2 linked regions of the Ovis aries genome follow. The protein of the gene in region 2 interacts with the protein of the main gene of each other region in a pairwise test. Links are inferred from orthologs where the notes say so. Each region holds a gene or a part of one and is shown on either strand. Other genes may lie near its edges.

Region 1 (8,390 bases), on a different chromosome or scaffold from region 2:
TAGAATATATAAAGAATTCTCAAAACGCAAAAGTTAAAATTGGAAGACAGGCAAAAGATATGGAGACATTTCACCAAAGAGGATGTACAGATGGCAAACAAACATCCGAAAAGATGTTCACCATCACTGGCCATCAGAGAAATGCAAATTAAAACCACACCGAGGTATCACTACACACCCACCACAATGGCTAAAATAAATAGTGTGATTTCTCTGGTGGTTCAGTGGCTAAGACTCTGCATTCCCAATGCAGGGGGCCTGGGTTGGATCCCTGGTCAGGGAACTAGATTCCACATGCTGCAAAGATCCCACAGGCCACAACTAAGACCTGTCACAGCCAACAACAAAAAAATTGACACCATCAAATGCTGGCTAGGAGAAACTGGGTCTCTCATGCATGGTTGGTGGGAATATAAAATGGTACAGCCACTCTGAAAAATGATCTGCTAGTTTCCTATAAAACTAAGCATGCAGCCACTAGACAACCAGGGCTTCCCTGGTAGCTCAGATAGTAAAGAATCCTCCCGCAATGAAGGAGACTTGGGTTTGATCCCTGGGTTGGGAAGATCCTCTGGAGGAAGGCATGGCAACCAGTATTCTTGCCTGGAGAATCCCCATGGACAGAGAAGCCTGGTGAGCTACAGTCAATGGGGTCCAAAGAATCAGACACGACTGAGCGACTAAGCACACAGCACACTATACAACCTAGCAACTGTATTCCTGAACATTTATCTCAGAAGTGTAAACCTAGGTTCACACAAAAATCTGTATGTGAATATTTATAGCAGTTTTATTCCTAATAGCCAAAGAATGGAAATGCAGATATCCTTCAGTGGTGAAGAGCTAACCAACTGTGAGCCTGGAGGCATAAAAAGGCAGGGCTACTGACACAGGCACCAACCTGCAGGAATCTCCAGAGAACCATGCTACATGGAAAAAGCCAGTCCCCAAAGGTTACACATTGTATGGTTCCCTTTACATAACATCCTTGAAATGACAGAATTACACAAATGGAGAGCACACGGGTGGCGGCCAGGGGTTAAAGGTGGAGAGCAGGGAAGTGAAGCCAGTGGGAATATAGAAGGTGGGCATGGAATATCTGTATCAACTGTATTGATGGAGTTGTACTCTCCTGTGATGTTGTGCTACACTTTTATAAGATGTTACCACTAGGGAAAAGTTACAGAGCTCTCTGTGTCATTTCTTGTAACATCTTAAGAATCTATAATTCTCTCAAACTACAAATTTATTTAATGTACAACCACCACCAGCTCTCTCTCCCCACAGAGATGCCCAGGGCCATCATTTCCCACACTAAAGCTGGCTGGATTGGCCAGGCCCACTTTGCTGTCCCAAAGGGAAGAGCAGGAAGAAGACAGACCCCCCCTGGCCTGGGTCAGAGCCCCAGGGGAGGCTGTATTAGTTCACAAGCGCAGCTTCTCCAACGGCGGCTCACCAGAACTCAGCCCCACTTTGAGTTCAGAGGGTGGAGTGAGGCCCAAGACTTGCATTTCCAGTAAGTTTGCAGGTGCTGCTGCTGGTACCACAGTTTGAAAGCCCCGGAGAGCTGGAGAGGAGGGGGGACAGGGCAGGTGCAGGGCGGGGGCCCATGTGGAGGCTGCTGGTCTGGGGCCCAGCACAGCTTCCTACATCACGTGAGTCTGGGGAATTCCACCCCTATGACTTCTCTGCTGTGGACAAGACCACAGACATTTCCAGTTCCCCCCGCCCCCGAGCTTACTGAGCGGGGGCAGTGACTTCCTGCCAAGCTCCTGAACCAAGGCGGCTCTCTTCCCTGACAAGCCCCAAACTCTTCAGGTTGGGGACTGGGGGACCCTCTGCTCCTGACAAAGGGAGAGAGATGTGGTGTGAGTGCAGACCCTCCTCCCACCTCCTGGCCGTGAGAAGAAGAGTTAAGAAGGAGCCTGGGTGTGTGCAGGGCCAGGGCTAGCCTCTGGCGGCTTCCTGCTGGTGGGGGGCTTTCCCTGTACATCAACTCTCACTGGAAGCCAGGACCTTGGCAGAAAGCCCTGGCGTGATGTCAGTCTAGAAGGCCACATGGCTTTCTGGGGGTCAGATCACATTTTCCTCCAGTAAAAGAGCTACAGACAACTCACTCCTCACATCCCCCTTTCCCAGGACCTCAGAGCATCTGCACTGCTGTCTCCAAAGGCAGACGTCACCATGGGTCAACCTCTTCTGCCCCCACTCCACGCTCCTTGCCTAGGCACCCAGCAGCAGCACACCTCACAACCACCCACCAGACCCCAGGAGGACAGTGCCAACATAGTCATAGAGCAGGGGCTCGCTGCCTCCTCTAGCACAGGGAATCCACAGTTCCCGATGACTGGCCCCAACTAGAGGAACACTGGAGTCAAACAGGCTCAGACGAGGAAAACGAACAGCTCAAGCGTCCCAGGAGGACATAAAAGTGGGGGCTCACATGCTCAAGTGGCTGAAGTCCTGCCCCTTGACTTGGAAGGCCACACACTGACTGGCTGAAGTATTCAGAGTTCATCAAAGGTGCCCAGGAAGGAGCATTGCTCAATGGCACAGGTGTAGGAAATTCCAGAGAACAGCTGAAGGGCTGCCCTGCCCTGAGCCTCAGTTTACAGTGTGGAAAATGGGTACGTGGTGGCCACTCTAGGACTAAGAGAGGGGAGGGCACATGACCACCTTAAATCATCAGCCCCAGCTCCCATCCTGGATCCAAGGGCTAGTGGACACTTCATGGGGAGGCCTGGCTGCCTCTGGAGATCAGTCCTATGATTGGGAGTCCTCCCCAGGCACAGCCTACCAGTCCTTCTGAATCTGTTATTCATTATCTCACCTTTCTCTTTCCAACCAGGAACCACCCTCCAGGTGTGACAAGTCCCCAAGGCCAGTACTCACTGGGTGAGGTTAAGAATCCTTCTCCTATCCTGTTACCTCTATCTAGCTTCTTCAAGGGAAGCCCTCTGGTTCTAGTGTGACAGGATTTGGTGGGTGAGTCTGTGATCGCCCTATCAACTGTCTTACAGATTGAGTCACATGTTCTGTGTATTTCCCTGTGAAATCTTCTGAGATAATACAAATGACTTAAATACATCACCATGGATATTCTGCAACTATCGGGAAGAGAGTATGGGGAACATGATGTAGGGGAGCAGGTCTAGGGGAGGCAAGAAAGGTTCGGAGGAGCAGGGTAGGGGGAGCAGGATTGGGGGGAACAGGGCAGCGGCGAGCAGATGGGGGAGGCTAGGGTAGGACACTCCTGGGAAGGAGGGCTGGACACGCTCCCGCCTGAGCTTCAGTATCTCCTGTTGGGAAAACGGTATTTCCACCAAAATCTCGGCTGGGGGGCTGAAAGGTTAGGGTCGCCAGCCCCAGAGCACACCTTCGCGGGTCTCACATCGCGTGCCAACGGCACGCACGGCCCGGAGGGGCCCGAAAGGTGAGCCTTCAGGCCACAGCGCAGAAAGGAGGGAGCGGGGCCAGTTTGGGTGAGGGCCCGCGTGAGGCTCCTGCCCAGACACCTCGGGCGCTTGGACGGATTCTGGCCAGCCCCAACAAAGGCTCAGGTGAGGGGTGGCCTCGGCGCGCAGCGGGCCAGTCGGCCCAGGACCACGACGCACGCGCCGCAGGTGCGGCAGGTGGGCGGCAGGGGCGGCTCCAGCCCCGCCGGGGCCCCGCCGAGGCGATGCAGCGCCGGGCCCGGGGACGCCGCACCTGCCGCCTCCCGCACCTGCCGCACCTGCCGCCCCCGCCGCCCGCACCTGCCCGCCCGGTCCGCTCACCTCCTCGCCGCCCGGCCCGGCCCCTCGCCGCCGCGGCCCCCGGTCCGCGCTGCTCCATGCGCTCAGCCCGCCCTCAGCGCCGCCCGCCGCCCCGGGGCTGCCGCCGCCCGCGCCATCGCGCCGCCGCCCGCTCCGAGGGCACAATGGAGCCGCCGAGTCGCTCATGCATATGCATGACGCCGCGCGCCGGCCCCGCCCCCAGGCCAAAGCAGTGGAGCCCCGAGCCAGCGTTCAGGCCCAGGTGGCCGCGGGCCTGCGCAAGCTAGGGCGGCTGGCCGGCCAGGAGCGGGGCGGGGAGGGAGGACGGGTTGGGGATGATCTGGGCTCCCCGCCCCTTCCACACCTTTCCAGGCGCAGCGTCTGCGGAGTCACCAGCCCTTGCTCTCTGCTCTCTGCCGGGGCGGAGCAGAGGAGGCGGGGCCTGAAAGAGGGCAGATCCAGGAGGAGGGGTGGAACCTGGCGGGTGGGAGGCGGGGCCTGGAAGAGGGCGGAGTCTTGGCGGAGGCTGGGTCTGCGGAGGTGACCCCGTGTCAATGGGCCACTTCTGGGAGATGTCTTGTAGGAAAAACCACGCGGAATCACACAACTCATTCTCTTCACTGTTCTCTCATCTTCCTAGAGTGCGTCCTGTTGAAACATTGTTAGTCACTCGAGTTCTAGCCAGATGAAGCAACCTCTCTGGTCGGTTGGCATCATCATATGCTATTTTCAGTCTTTAAGTTATTCTCGGCTATTATCTACCCTTCCTTTAGGAAGACCACATTCTCCTGATTACCCACATTTTTTTTTTTATTGTAGTAAAATACAGTAACAAAGTTTACCATCCTAACCAGTTTTAAGTGTACAGTGGTGTTAAGCACATTCCCCACTATCACATATCCATCACCACCCATAGCTTTTTCATCTCCTAAAAGTGACACTTTGTACTCATCAAACAATAGTTCCCCATCCTCCTCCCACCCACCATTCTACTTTCTGTCTCTGAATCTGACTCCTCTAGGGATCTGATAGAAGTGGAATCATACAGTATTTGTCCATTTGTGACTGATGTCATGAAAGTCCCTCAGTCATGTCCAGCTGTGACCCTATACTCTCTAAGCCAGAATACTGTAGTGGGTAGCCTTTCCCTTCTCCAGGGGATCTTCCCAACCCAGGGATCGAACACAGGTCTCCCATACTGCAGGTGGATTCTTTAACTGCTGAGCCAAAAGGGAAGCCCAAGAATATTGGAGTGGGTAGCCTATCCCTTGGACAACACGGTGATCAAACCAGTCAATCCTAAAGGATATCAGTCCAGAATATTCATTGGAAGGACTGACACTGATTGGAAGCTCCAATACTCTGGCCACCTGGTACAAAGAACTGACTCATGGAAAAGACCCTGATGCTGGGAAAGATTGAAGGCAGGAGGAGAAGGGGAGGACAGAGGATGAGATGGTTGGATGGCATCACTGACTTGATGGACATGAGTTTGAGCAAGCTCCAGAAGTTGGTGACGGACAGGGAGGCCTGGAGTGCTGCAATTCATGGGGTCGCAAAGAGTTGAACATGACTGAGTGACTCAGCTGAACTGAACTGAATGTCTCGAAGGTTCATTCACATTGCAACTTGCATAATTTCTCTCCTTTTAAAGGCTGAACAGTATTTCATTTTTTGTGTGTATACCACATTTTGTCTATCCATTCCTCCATTGATGGATGCCTCATAATTAACTTGTAATAATGCTGAAATTTCTTCCCTCAAGGCTACCTGAACTCTGTATCTTTGGAGAACCATTACTTCATTGAACAAATATGATGGCCTGCTATACCAGGCACTGGGCTCTGAACACCCCAGTGACCATGATAGTAACTCCTCTCCTCCCTGCTCCCACTAGAAGGAACAAAAAGAAATGACTCACCAGGTAACAATCTGTCCATCAATGTGAGGGTTAGGAAGAAAAATAAAAGAAAAATGGAAGATGGGGGAATGCTGGGAAATAGGTTAAAGAGCAGAGGCAGATTCTCTGGAGAGCTGGCCCCAGAAGAGACCCACATGATGAGGGAGGCACACACCATGGAACATGACCTGCTTCTGCCTCCAGGAGGCTGTGAGTTTGGGGGAGTTGCCGGCAAGTTCTGGGAAGAGGCCAGAAATGGCCACAGTAGGGTCCTGAATTAGAACTCTGAAGGCAGATCTGTTACCTCCCCAGTGTAACAGCCCTAGGAGACGCTGTTTGGTGTCAGTTCCCTTCTGGATAGTTTTCATGTTTGACTATACAGATTGTTAGAAGATTCTCCCTTATTTACTGGAAAACATCTGCCTCCCTAAAGTCTTCCTTCTACAACTGTATAAAATGAGAATTTTGCCTTGGAATCTTCTGTTGAAAGATAAACATGCCCAGTTCTTTTCTTTTAAAAAAATATTTATTTTACTCTGCTGGGTCTCAGTTGAGGCACAAGGAGTCTTCCATCTTTGTTGTGAAGTGCAGGATCTTTACTTGCAGCATAGGAACTCTTAGTTGTAGCAGGTGGGATCTAGTTCTCTTGAAACCATAGGTTCAAGAGTAGGACTTGAACCTATGTGCTGGGACTCAAACCCACGAGGCCAGTATTTGAACCCAGCCAAAACCCTGCATGGAATAGAACCCAGCCAAAACCCATGGAACCTGATTTCAGGACCTAATGAAGCTCAGGTTCTTGATGTCTCATTGCAGAAAGAATCCAGTGAGAGACAAAGTGATAGATAAGAAGTGGATTTATTCAGATTCAGAGAGAAGCACACTAGACACACAGAGTTTGTGGGCCATTGCAGAGGGCAAGTGCTGCTGCAAAATGTGGCATAGTTAGTTTTTATGCGCTGGGTAATTTCTTATGCTAATGAGTGGGAGGATTATTCCAACTATTTTGGGAAAGAGGTGGGAATTTCCAGGAACTGGGTCACCACCCACTCCTTGGTCTTTTGACAGTGCCTTGGAACTGTCATGATTTAGGTCATACCTGAATGGTCTAGTGGTTTTTCCCACTTTCTTCAATTTAAGTCTGAATTTGGCAATTAGGAGTTCATGATCTGAGCCACAGTCAGCACCCCATCTTGTTTTTGCTGACTGTATACAGCTTCTCCATCTTTGGCTGCAAAGAATATAATCAATCTGATTTCGACGTTGGCCATCTGGTGATGTCCATGTGTAGAGTCTTATCTTGTGTTGTTGAAAGAGGGCATTTGCTATGACCAGTGCTTTCTCTTGGCAAAACTCTATTAGCCTTTGCCCTGCTTCATTCTGTACTCCAAGGCCAAATTTGCCTGTTACTCCAGGTGTTTCTTGTCTTCCTACTTTTGCATTCCAGTCCCCTATAATGCAAAGGACATCTCTTTTGGGTGTTAGTTCTAAAAGGTCTTGTAGGTTCTTCATAGAACCGTTCAACTTCAGCTTCTTCAACATTACTGGTTGGGGCATATACTTGGATTACTATGATATTGAATGGTTTGCCTTGGAGATGAACAGAGATCATTCTGTTGTTTTTGAGACTGCATACAAGTACTGCATTTTGGACTCTCTTGTTGACCATGATGGCTACTCCATTTCTTCTAAGGGATTCCTGCCCACAGTAGTAGATACAATGGTCATCTGAGTTAGATTCACCCATTCCAGTTCATTTTAGTTCACTGATTCCTAGGATGTTGACGTTCACTCTTGCCATCTCCTGTTTGACCACTTCCAATTTGCCTTGATTCATGGACCTAACATTCCAGATTCCTATGCAATACTGCTCTTTACAGCATCGGACCTTGCTTCTATCACCAGTCACATCCACAACTGGGTATTGTGTTTACTTTGGCTCCATCCCTTCATTCTTTCTGGAGTTATTTCTCCACTGATCTCCTGTAGCATATTGGGCACCTACCGACCTGGGGAGTTCATCTTTCAGTGTCATATCTTTTTGCCTTTTCATACTTTCGTGGGGTTCTCAAGGAAAGAATACTATAGTGGTTTGCCATTCCCTTCTCCAGTGGATCACATTCTGTCAGACCTCTCCACCATGACCCATCCGTCTGGTGGCCTCACATGGCATAGCTTAGTTTCATTGAGTTAAACAAGGCTGTGGTCCATGTGATCAGATTGGCTAGTTGTCTGTGATTGTGGTTTCAGTCTGTCTGCCCTCTGATGCCCCCCCACCTCAGCACCTACCGTCTTACTTGGGTTCCTCTTACCTTGGACATGGGGTATCTCTTCATGGCTGCTCCAGCAAAGCACAAGTGCTGCTCCTGACCTTGGATGTGGGGTAGCTCCTCTCGGCTGCTCCTGTGCCACACAGCTGCCGTCTAGTCAAGGCTATGGTTTTCCAGTAGTCATGTATGGATGTGAGAGTTGGACTATAAAGAAAGCTGAGCGAAGAAGAATTGATGCTTTTGAACTGTGGTATTGGAGAAGACTCTTGAGAGTCCCTTGGACTGCAAGGAGATCCAACCAGTCCATCCTAAAGGAAATCAACCCTGGGTGTTCATTGGAAGGACTGATGCTGAAGCTGAAACTACAATACTTTGGCTACCTGATGTGAAGAGCTGACTCATTTGAAAAGACCCTGACGCTGGGAAAGATTGAGGGAAGGAGGAAAAGGGGACGACAGAGGATGA
Region 2 (7,838 bases):
TTGGCACGTGGAAGGAGAAGGAAGGTACAATCTGCTACTTCTCTTTATGATGGGCTTTCCAGGCACTGTCTTGGATGCAAGAGGTCAAAAGAGGAAAAGGGGAGCTCTCTTCTCCTTGGCTTCTCTGGATCCCACTGCTAGAGGCAACTTCCCGGCCTCAGTTCCTGGGCCAAACAGCACTGGTCGTGCAGGACCTGAAGTGGTAGTGGAGATGGAGATGGAACTGGAAGTTTGGGGCTTGGTGGGCAGGTCACTTGACAGGAAGGTTGTGTCCTGGTTCCAAAGAGACAGCGGGCCCACCCTCACCAGCTGGGAAGGAATGCCCTGGGACAAGAAGCCATGCAGGTTGACCTGGTCACCAGAGAGGAGTGGCCCTAGGCCCTCCAGGGACAGGTGCTGCCCCCTTCGGGGTGGCTGTAATTCCATATGTGGGTGCTCAGGTGCACCTGCCAAAGGGAAGGGAGAGGAGAGGGAAGAAGGGTCATTCTCAGAGAAGCTAGAAAGGGTTCTTCTCGGGAATGTAAAAGCTGTAGCAAGTCTATTTTCCTCAGGTACAATGGATGAAGAGGGAAGAAAAGTTTCTCAGGGGGCAATTGCCGTGAGCTCAGCCATTTTGAAGCTCAAGGATTAGAGAAAAGTCATTAGGGACATCTAAGAACTCAGAGAAACAGACAAATAAAGGCTCAGATCTGGGAGGTCCTTCTATAGAGCTCTCACTTCCTGCTCCTTGGGTCAAGGGGCAGCAGGTACAGAAAAACTGGCTCATGGAATGGTGGGGTCATCTTTTCGGGGAAAGGGAGAGAGCCCTGGGGAAGTGATAGAGGGTGAGCAGCCTGGGACCAAGGAAAGAGCAGCAATATTCTGAGGGCCATGGGGGGCAAAGGGCTGTACCTGGTGGTGGGCCAGCAGCATGTGCTTCTTGAGGGTAGCCCGCTCAAGAAAGCCCTGCCTGCAGAAAACACAAGTGAAGAGCAGCCCCTCCTTGGGGTGGGTTTTCTGATGCTCCTCCAGAGCTGCTTGGGTGGGAAAGGTCTGGCCACACACCTCACAGGCCTTTCGGCCACTGCTCTCCCCGGGCTCCTTTCTCATCACTTCCTGCAGGCTCAGCTCCTCCACCAAGGGGGTGCTGCTGCCTTCCCCTTCAAGGGCCAGCGCTGACCCTGGGCTGGAGCTCCTCTCCGGTTTTGCCCCCTCTTCCGTGCCTCCGGCAGCATCACTGCCTCCCTGCTCCTTTGGCTGTGTCTGATCCAGGGTGTCAGCTGGTGGCGGCGGCAGCAGACACGGCTGCTGAATGGTCTTCTCATTAGTGTCCATCTCCTTCCCAGCTGTGGTCACCGCTGCCACAGTCCCCACTTCCTCCTCAGTGCCAGAGGCCTCTTCTGAATCACCTCGCACGGATATGGCCTTCTCCCCTCCACTTTCAGAGCCTCTTCCGGCCAGGGAATCTTCATCAGTCACATCTTCTTCCTCTTCTTCATCCTCTTCCTCTTCTTCAGACAACTCCTCCTCTGGGGATGGCTGCTGGGATGGCTGCTGGGGGAAGCCCCCCGCTCCGGAGACTGTCGATTGCTCAGAGCCGTTCTCCTGGGCAGCTCCCCCCGCTTCCGGGAGTGCAGTGCCACCATTGGGGATCTGGCCCCCCAGGTGCATCCGAACATGCTGCTGCAGAGTAACAGCGTTGGTGAACTTCTTCTGGCAAATGGGGCAGGAGTTCTGGGCCCGGGCAGCTGGACTAGCCTTATGGCCCACGAAATGTGCACGCAGATTGCCTCGGGTAGAGAAAGCTCTGCCACACACTTTGCATTTGAAGGGCCGCTCACCTCCATGCTGACCGTAATGCAGGCGCAGTGCCCGAGGACAGCTCAGCACCCGGAGACAAATGACACACTGGTTGGGTCCAGATGAGGCTGATGATGAAGCTGCAGGGGCAGAGGTTGTGGGGGCACCCGAGGCAGTAGAGGCCACTGCCACAGCTCCTTGACGGTCAATCTTTTCTACCAGCTGCTGAAGCTTGGAGGTCTCGGAGGGTGAAGCCCCCAAGGGCTCCAGCACATAAGGGAAGGGGAAGCTACCAGTGGACTTCAAGTGGTTGGTAAGCAGGGCCCAGCTGGGTAGCGATGTCACCAGCTTACTTAGCTGCATGCGGGTTGCTGCACCACTTTCTGCCACCCCGGCGATGGCTGAGCCCTCACTCCCCGGCGGGGTGTTTTCATCCGCTTTATTCTTTGGCTCTACTGCTTTCATGAGCACAAACTTATTGAAAGCAGGAAGCGCAGGGGCCGTAGTGGTGCCTGCACCGGTGGAGAGCAGCGTGAGGCTCTCTGTGGCACTGAGGGCGGCGGTGGAGGCCACCAGAGGCTTGCGTTCCACACCTCCACCCGGCACAGCTGCCTCCTCCTCAGCCTTCTCTGGCGGCACCGACATACCATAGGGCAGGCCGCTGCTGGTGATAACATAGTCGAGATGCTCTGGAACCGGGTGAGGGTTCATCTGCACATGTGGGTACTTCTCCCGATGCCGGTGGAAATGCACTTTGAGGTTGCCTCGCGTGGTAAAGCGGTTGCCACACACATTACACTTATAGGGTCTCTCGCCTGTGTGGGAACGCAGGTGGATCTGCAGGGCACTGTCACTACCAAATACTTTGGCGCAGAAGCGGCACTTGTGCCTCCCACCGGGCTTCTCCAAGGGGCCCATCACTTCCCCATAACCCAACTCTCCACCTCCATTCTTTGGCTTCAGGAGCCCTGGGGAAGCAGCAGCCTCGAGGCCCCGGGCTGCCCCAAGACACTGCGCTGCCAGGAGTCCTGTAGTGCCTGGGAATGCCAGGTGAGGCGAGGCAATCAGCTGATCCGTGCTGCCCGACAGGGCCGGGGAGGCTGCAGGGGTGGGTTTGTGGCTTCGCCCGACCACACCAGCAGAAAAAGGGTGCTGTGACCCCAAGGGGTGGTAAAGGTGGAAGAAAGCCTGCTTGGGTGCTTCTGCCCCTGAGGAGGAGGTGGAGGAAGGTGCCAGTGTTTTGCCAGTTTGGACAGGCTTGATGGGACTGAAGAGAGGCAGCAGGGGCTTGGTGGAGGAGGCAGTCCCTGTCCCAGGTAGCTCCGAGGGACTGGAAGGGGTGCCCACTGTCTGGCCTAAGGAGCCTAGCAGCAGCACCTGCCGGCAGATTTGCTCAGTCATCTGCATCTGATGAATCTGGCGCTGCTGCAGCACCCGGAGTTCTTCCAAGATCAGAGGGATGTTCAAGTGGCCACTGCCTACCCCTGAGGGGGGAGGAGGAGGCGGAGGAGGAGGGGGTGCAGGGGTGGACTCCGGCGGTAATGGAGTCGCTCCCAGCTTGGGGCTGGCCAAGATCAGGCCCCCACCTCCCCCAGCTGCTGTACCTGTGGCAGCAATGAGGAAGTGCCCGGAAGACTCCTCTCCCCTCCGCTCGGGGCCCCAGGTGGGATCTGTGGGTACAGAGGACGCGCAGTCCGAGGGGTTGCTTTGCTCGGCCTCCATGGCCTGCGGACTACTGTGGCCCTCAGGCCGAGGCTCGCAAGAGGTCGAAGAGTTGTTGGGGTTCTCCTGGCCCCCAATTATCACCATTACAGGGGGATCAGTAGAACATGCATTCTGGTGGGCGAGGAATTCAGCTGGGTCAGTGAATTGTGCGCAGCACTTGGCACAGACTTGGGGGTGGTCGTCCTCGCTCACATCACCTGGGGAAGAACACAAGGAGAGAGCGTGGGTGGTGCGGTTGGGATGGATATACACAGGCTGTAATTAACAAGGAGCCCAGTAACCGCTAGTGGGGGTGGGGAGATGAGCTCACCATCAGGCCGTGCAGAAGGCTAGAGCTCAGGGCTGACCCGCCTGGACACGACACGCCAGCACTGGGGGCCAGGAAGGAGAGGAGCGGGCATGCACAAGCTACTGTCCCCCTTCTATCCCCTCGCACCCCGGGTCACCGGCGGGCGGAAGGACAAGCTGGGAGGACCGGGTCCTGGGCAGAGAATCGTCCGTTTTATCTCGTCCACCGAAAGTCCTTTCCCCCTCGCCCAGCGCACCCCCTCCACCCCTACCCCTGCAGGGCCCTACCGCACCTCCAAGCTCCGCCGGCTCCCCGCAGGGCCCCCCGAGACGAGCGCTCCTCCCGGCTTCGTGCGCCATGGTTGTGCGGGAGGTGCAGGGCCGGGTGGAGTGGGAGACAATGGGTATCCGGATTGGGGGAGGCGGCACTGGCCGCCCGGGCTGCAGCAGCCTCTGCACCCAGCGGCCCGGACTGCAGAGATGGAGATCGCGGCGGGGGCAGGGCGCAGCGGAGGAGGGGGAGGGGAGCGAGGAGACGCGGAGGAGGGGAGGAGCTGGAGCCAGAAAGCTGGGAGAGGGGAGATGGGGGAGGAGCTGCTGGGAAGGGGAGTCTGTGGGGAGGAGTTGCTGGGGAGGGAGGCGGGAGCTGGGGAAGAAGAGAGGGGGCGGGGGACGGGTGTACGGGGGCGGGAGCCCAGAGCACAGGAGGGTTTCCGGTAGGCTCAGTGACAGGTGCTGTGGGGCCTGGTGGGGGTCCACCTATCCTTGCCCTCTGCTAGCTCCCCCATCTCCAGATGTCTTTGCCCAGACCGGCCCGCCCACCTCCCCAGCAAGCTCAAGGGGGCGCAGTAGGAAACACAGCCTTGCTCAATAGAGCAGAGCGATAGGCTTCTCTTATTTTCCTTCGGATAAAGGATCCGCTGAGCCTGGAAAACGTGGACTCCAGAGAGGGTGGTCTGAGGGCCAGAGCGAGAGGGGGGGGGGTCCCAGAAAATCCACCCCTTATCTACACACATTCACACCGCCCCTGCAAATGCCCCAAGTTTTGTCCTGTTTTCTTCACCTCCATTCCCACCCTACCCCCACACCCCCTCTACAAAAGAAGCTTCTCAGGGTGGGAGGCTGAGAGGTAGAATTTCCAAGGAAGTCGATTCAGGACTCTTCTCTGCGGAACACTAAGCCCCTTTACTCCCCGCCCCTCCTCCCCCAGAATAATAGCTGAATGCAAGTTATTCCACGGATCACCCAGCCCACACCTCATTTACAGAGTTCATGCTTATTAAAGGAGTCATCTCCTATTTAGTTTCCTCTTCTCTACCCTTCTTCCTCCGTTGTCCTTCTCTAGCAACGCAGACACTATTACGGATGTGCTGTTTGGGGGTGATGCTAGTTTGCAGAGGCCCACCTAGCTTTAACCTGGGGGGAAGGGAACTCCTCCCGAAACAATGGGGAAAATGCAGTAGGAGGGAGCTACCAGGCAGCCTCTCGGGGCCTAAAGTCCCTCTTAGCCCCAGGCTGGGTTGAATGCCTAGAAATAACACCTGCTCACTGCACAGAGGTGGCCTCCTATTAGGAGAGAGGATTAAGGGCGTAAAATGCCTCCTGGACCAGGTACTCTGCATTCCCTTCCTATCTTGAAATGAGCCTTAATGGCTTTCCAACTTCCTTAAAAGAGCTTATCTTTCTTACAGGAGGTGATAAGTCCTTAGTTCAGTGTTTTGCCTGGGCATCAGTAAATCCACCTTGTTCTAATCCCAGTTCCGTTCTTGCCTGGCTGGTAAATTGAGGCGTGGTGGGCAGTCACACCATGACTGCACTGCCATTTCCTTTTTTGTAAAGTGGTAATATTGTAGCTATGTTGGCTTCATCAGAGAAATATAGTGGGGATAAAATAATCTATATATATAGGACTTCAAATTTTGGGAGGAGTCCTAAATATTATGAATTAAAGAACTTATATTTAAGTGGCAAAAAAAAAACCAAAATAAGCTAAAATACATATATATTCAAATTAGGTCTGTTTTCATGTTGCCTATTAATTTATTTTAATTTATTTATTTTTGGCCAAGCTGTACGGCTTACTCAGGATCTTAGTTCCCTGAACCCAGGTCCTTGGTAGCATAAGCGTGGCATCCTAACCACTGGACTGCCAGGGAATTAGCAATCTTATTCATTTCTGAGGCTAATATCATTGGCATATGTTAAGAGTAGGAAGTCTTTTGGGGTGGGAGCTGTAATAGCCATTTCCTTCTCCAAATATTAATGTTAGTATAATGTAATATTAATATTAGGCTTTCCAGGTGGCGCTAGTGGTAAAGAATCCATCTGCCAATGCAGGAGAGGCAAGAGACATGGGTTTGATTCTTGGGTTGGAACGATTCCCTGGAGTAGGAAAAGGCAATCCACTCCATTATTCTTGCCTGGAAAATTCCATGGACAGAGGAGCCTGGCAGGCTACAGTCCATGGGGTTGCAAAGAGTCAGACATGACTGAACACACACACTGAGTTGTATATAATATAGACATAGTTGAATGTTAATATTAGTATAATATTAATAATGTCCACTTTCATTGAAAACATTGTACTGAATTGTTTTGAAACTTCAGATAAACACAAGGGTCTTGATACTGTAGACAATGGCTCTGAAACAGAGGAGCTCCAGGCTTCCAGACCTGACCAGGGAGGGAGAGAGGATTCTGTGTCAATTATGGTAAGTCACAGGTTAACTGCAATGTTGTTTATTTTTATAGATAAGGAAGTTGAAGCTTGGAGAGGTTAAGTGACTTTTCCAAGTTCACACAGTAATTCAGTGCAGCAAACATTCAGAGTTTTGACTCCTGTCCAATACTTTCCCAAGCACATCAACATTGTGTAGCTTCCCTAAGCTAGAGAAAGGGCCTTGTGTGGTTCCTACCTGCCATTTGCTCTGCAGCCTCAGTGAGAGAGAAGGAATCAGATGGACTCTTTCTACTGAGCATTTGTTAATTAGCATTGAATGTTTGATATCAAGTTGCTGTTTTGTCAAGTCTTCCAACAAGAAAAGAAATCCTTTTCTTTTCATCTTCTCCTGGGAAACACTGTCCCCTTTCTAGCTCTTTAATGAAACTTGCTTTCTGATGTGTAATTTGATCTGCACTCTTCTTAAAGGTAAATTCAGTCCCTGTTGAAAGGTGATGGATCAACAGCCACCTGTAAGAGGAGCCCTCTTTTTCTTAGCACTTTGCACTCACTGCCTATCCTGAAAAGGGGGGTGGGATTCTTAGGCAGACACGAATGAAATCATAAACACAGGACTAAACAAACCTGGTAATGGTGTCCCTAGATAGCAGATAAGGTGAAGTAAGCTACCCTGGGTCACATGCAAAGTCTGGGATGGACACAGGACTGAGACCTGGATATGCTGGTTTAAATTTATAAAGAGCTGAAATACAAGGAAAAATGAAATCAGGTGACTCTCTAAATCTGGTGGCTCATCAAACTTAGGAAAGGATGGCTCGGAAAACAGAAAAATCGGTGTGTAGCAGGTAGACTTGAACACAGGTTCTCAAACTTTGCTGCCCATTAGAATTACTGGAAGAGCTTTTAAAAATTGCAGTGGCCAGGCTGTGTGTGCGTGCATGCTAAGTCTGATGCTTTGTGAAGATATGAACTGTAGCCTGCCAGGCTCCTCTGTCTGTGTGATTCTCCAAGCAACAATACAGGGTAGCCATTTCCTCCTCCAAGGAATTTTCCGGACCCAGGGATTGAATCTGCATCTCTTAGGTCTCCTACGTTGGCTGGTGGGATCTTTACCACTAGAGCCACCTGGGAAGCCTGGCCAGGGTGGGTCTAGGCATCAATGTTTGTAATGTTCCTCAAGTGATTCCAATGTACAGCCAAGGAGGAGAACCATAGTGTGTATCAGAGGAGTGCCTTTCCCAGCAAACCTTCCACCCTGCTTCTCACAAATCTTCAAAGTGGAAAAGTAGAAAGTGCTGTAATGTCTGACTCTTTTGTGACCCCATAGACTGTAGCCTGCCAGGCTCCTCTATTCATGAGATTTCAC

Evidence for each region.
Region 1: the proteins of SALL2 (region 2) and ZMIZ2 interact in binary tests that used the Homo sapiens proteins (3 or more experiments, as listed by UniProt). The two-hybrid records come from large-scale screens. The link is inferred for Ovis aries from reciprocal best matches to the Homo sapiens genes SALL2 and ZMIZ2.

Annotation. Positions count from the first base shown.
Region 1 is NC_056057.1:78,418,419-78,426,808, forward strand, and holds the start of ZMIZ2 (zinc finger MIZ domain-containing protein 2), read right to left. Parts: upstream 4,207-8,390; 5' UTR 4,120-4,206; intron 3,928-4,119; exon of another isoform or gene 3,777-3,927; intron 3,679-3,776; exon of another isoform or gene 2,831-3,678; intron 1-2,830. UniProt on the Homo sapiens protein: Increases ligand-dependent transcriptional activity of AR and other nuclear hormone receptors.
Region 2 is NC_056060.1:23,997,679-24,005,516, reverse strand, and holds part of SALL2 (sal-like protein 2), read right to left. Parts: intron 4,275-7,838; exon of another isoform or gene 4,153-4,274; coding exon of another isoform or gene 4,086-4,152; intron 3,702-4,085; coding exon 763-3,701; 3' UTR 1-762. UniProt on the Homo sapiens protein: Probable transcription factor that plays a role in eye development before, during, and after optic fissure closure.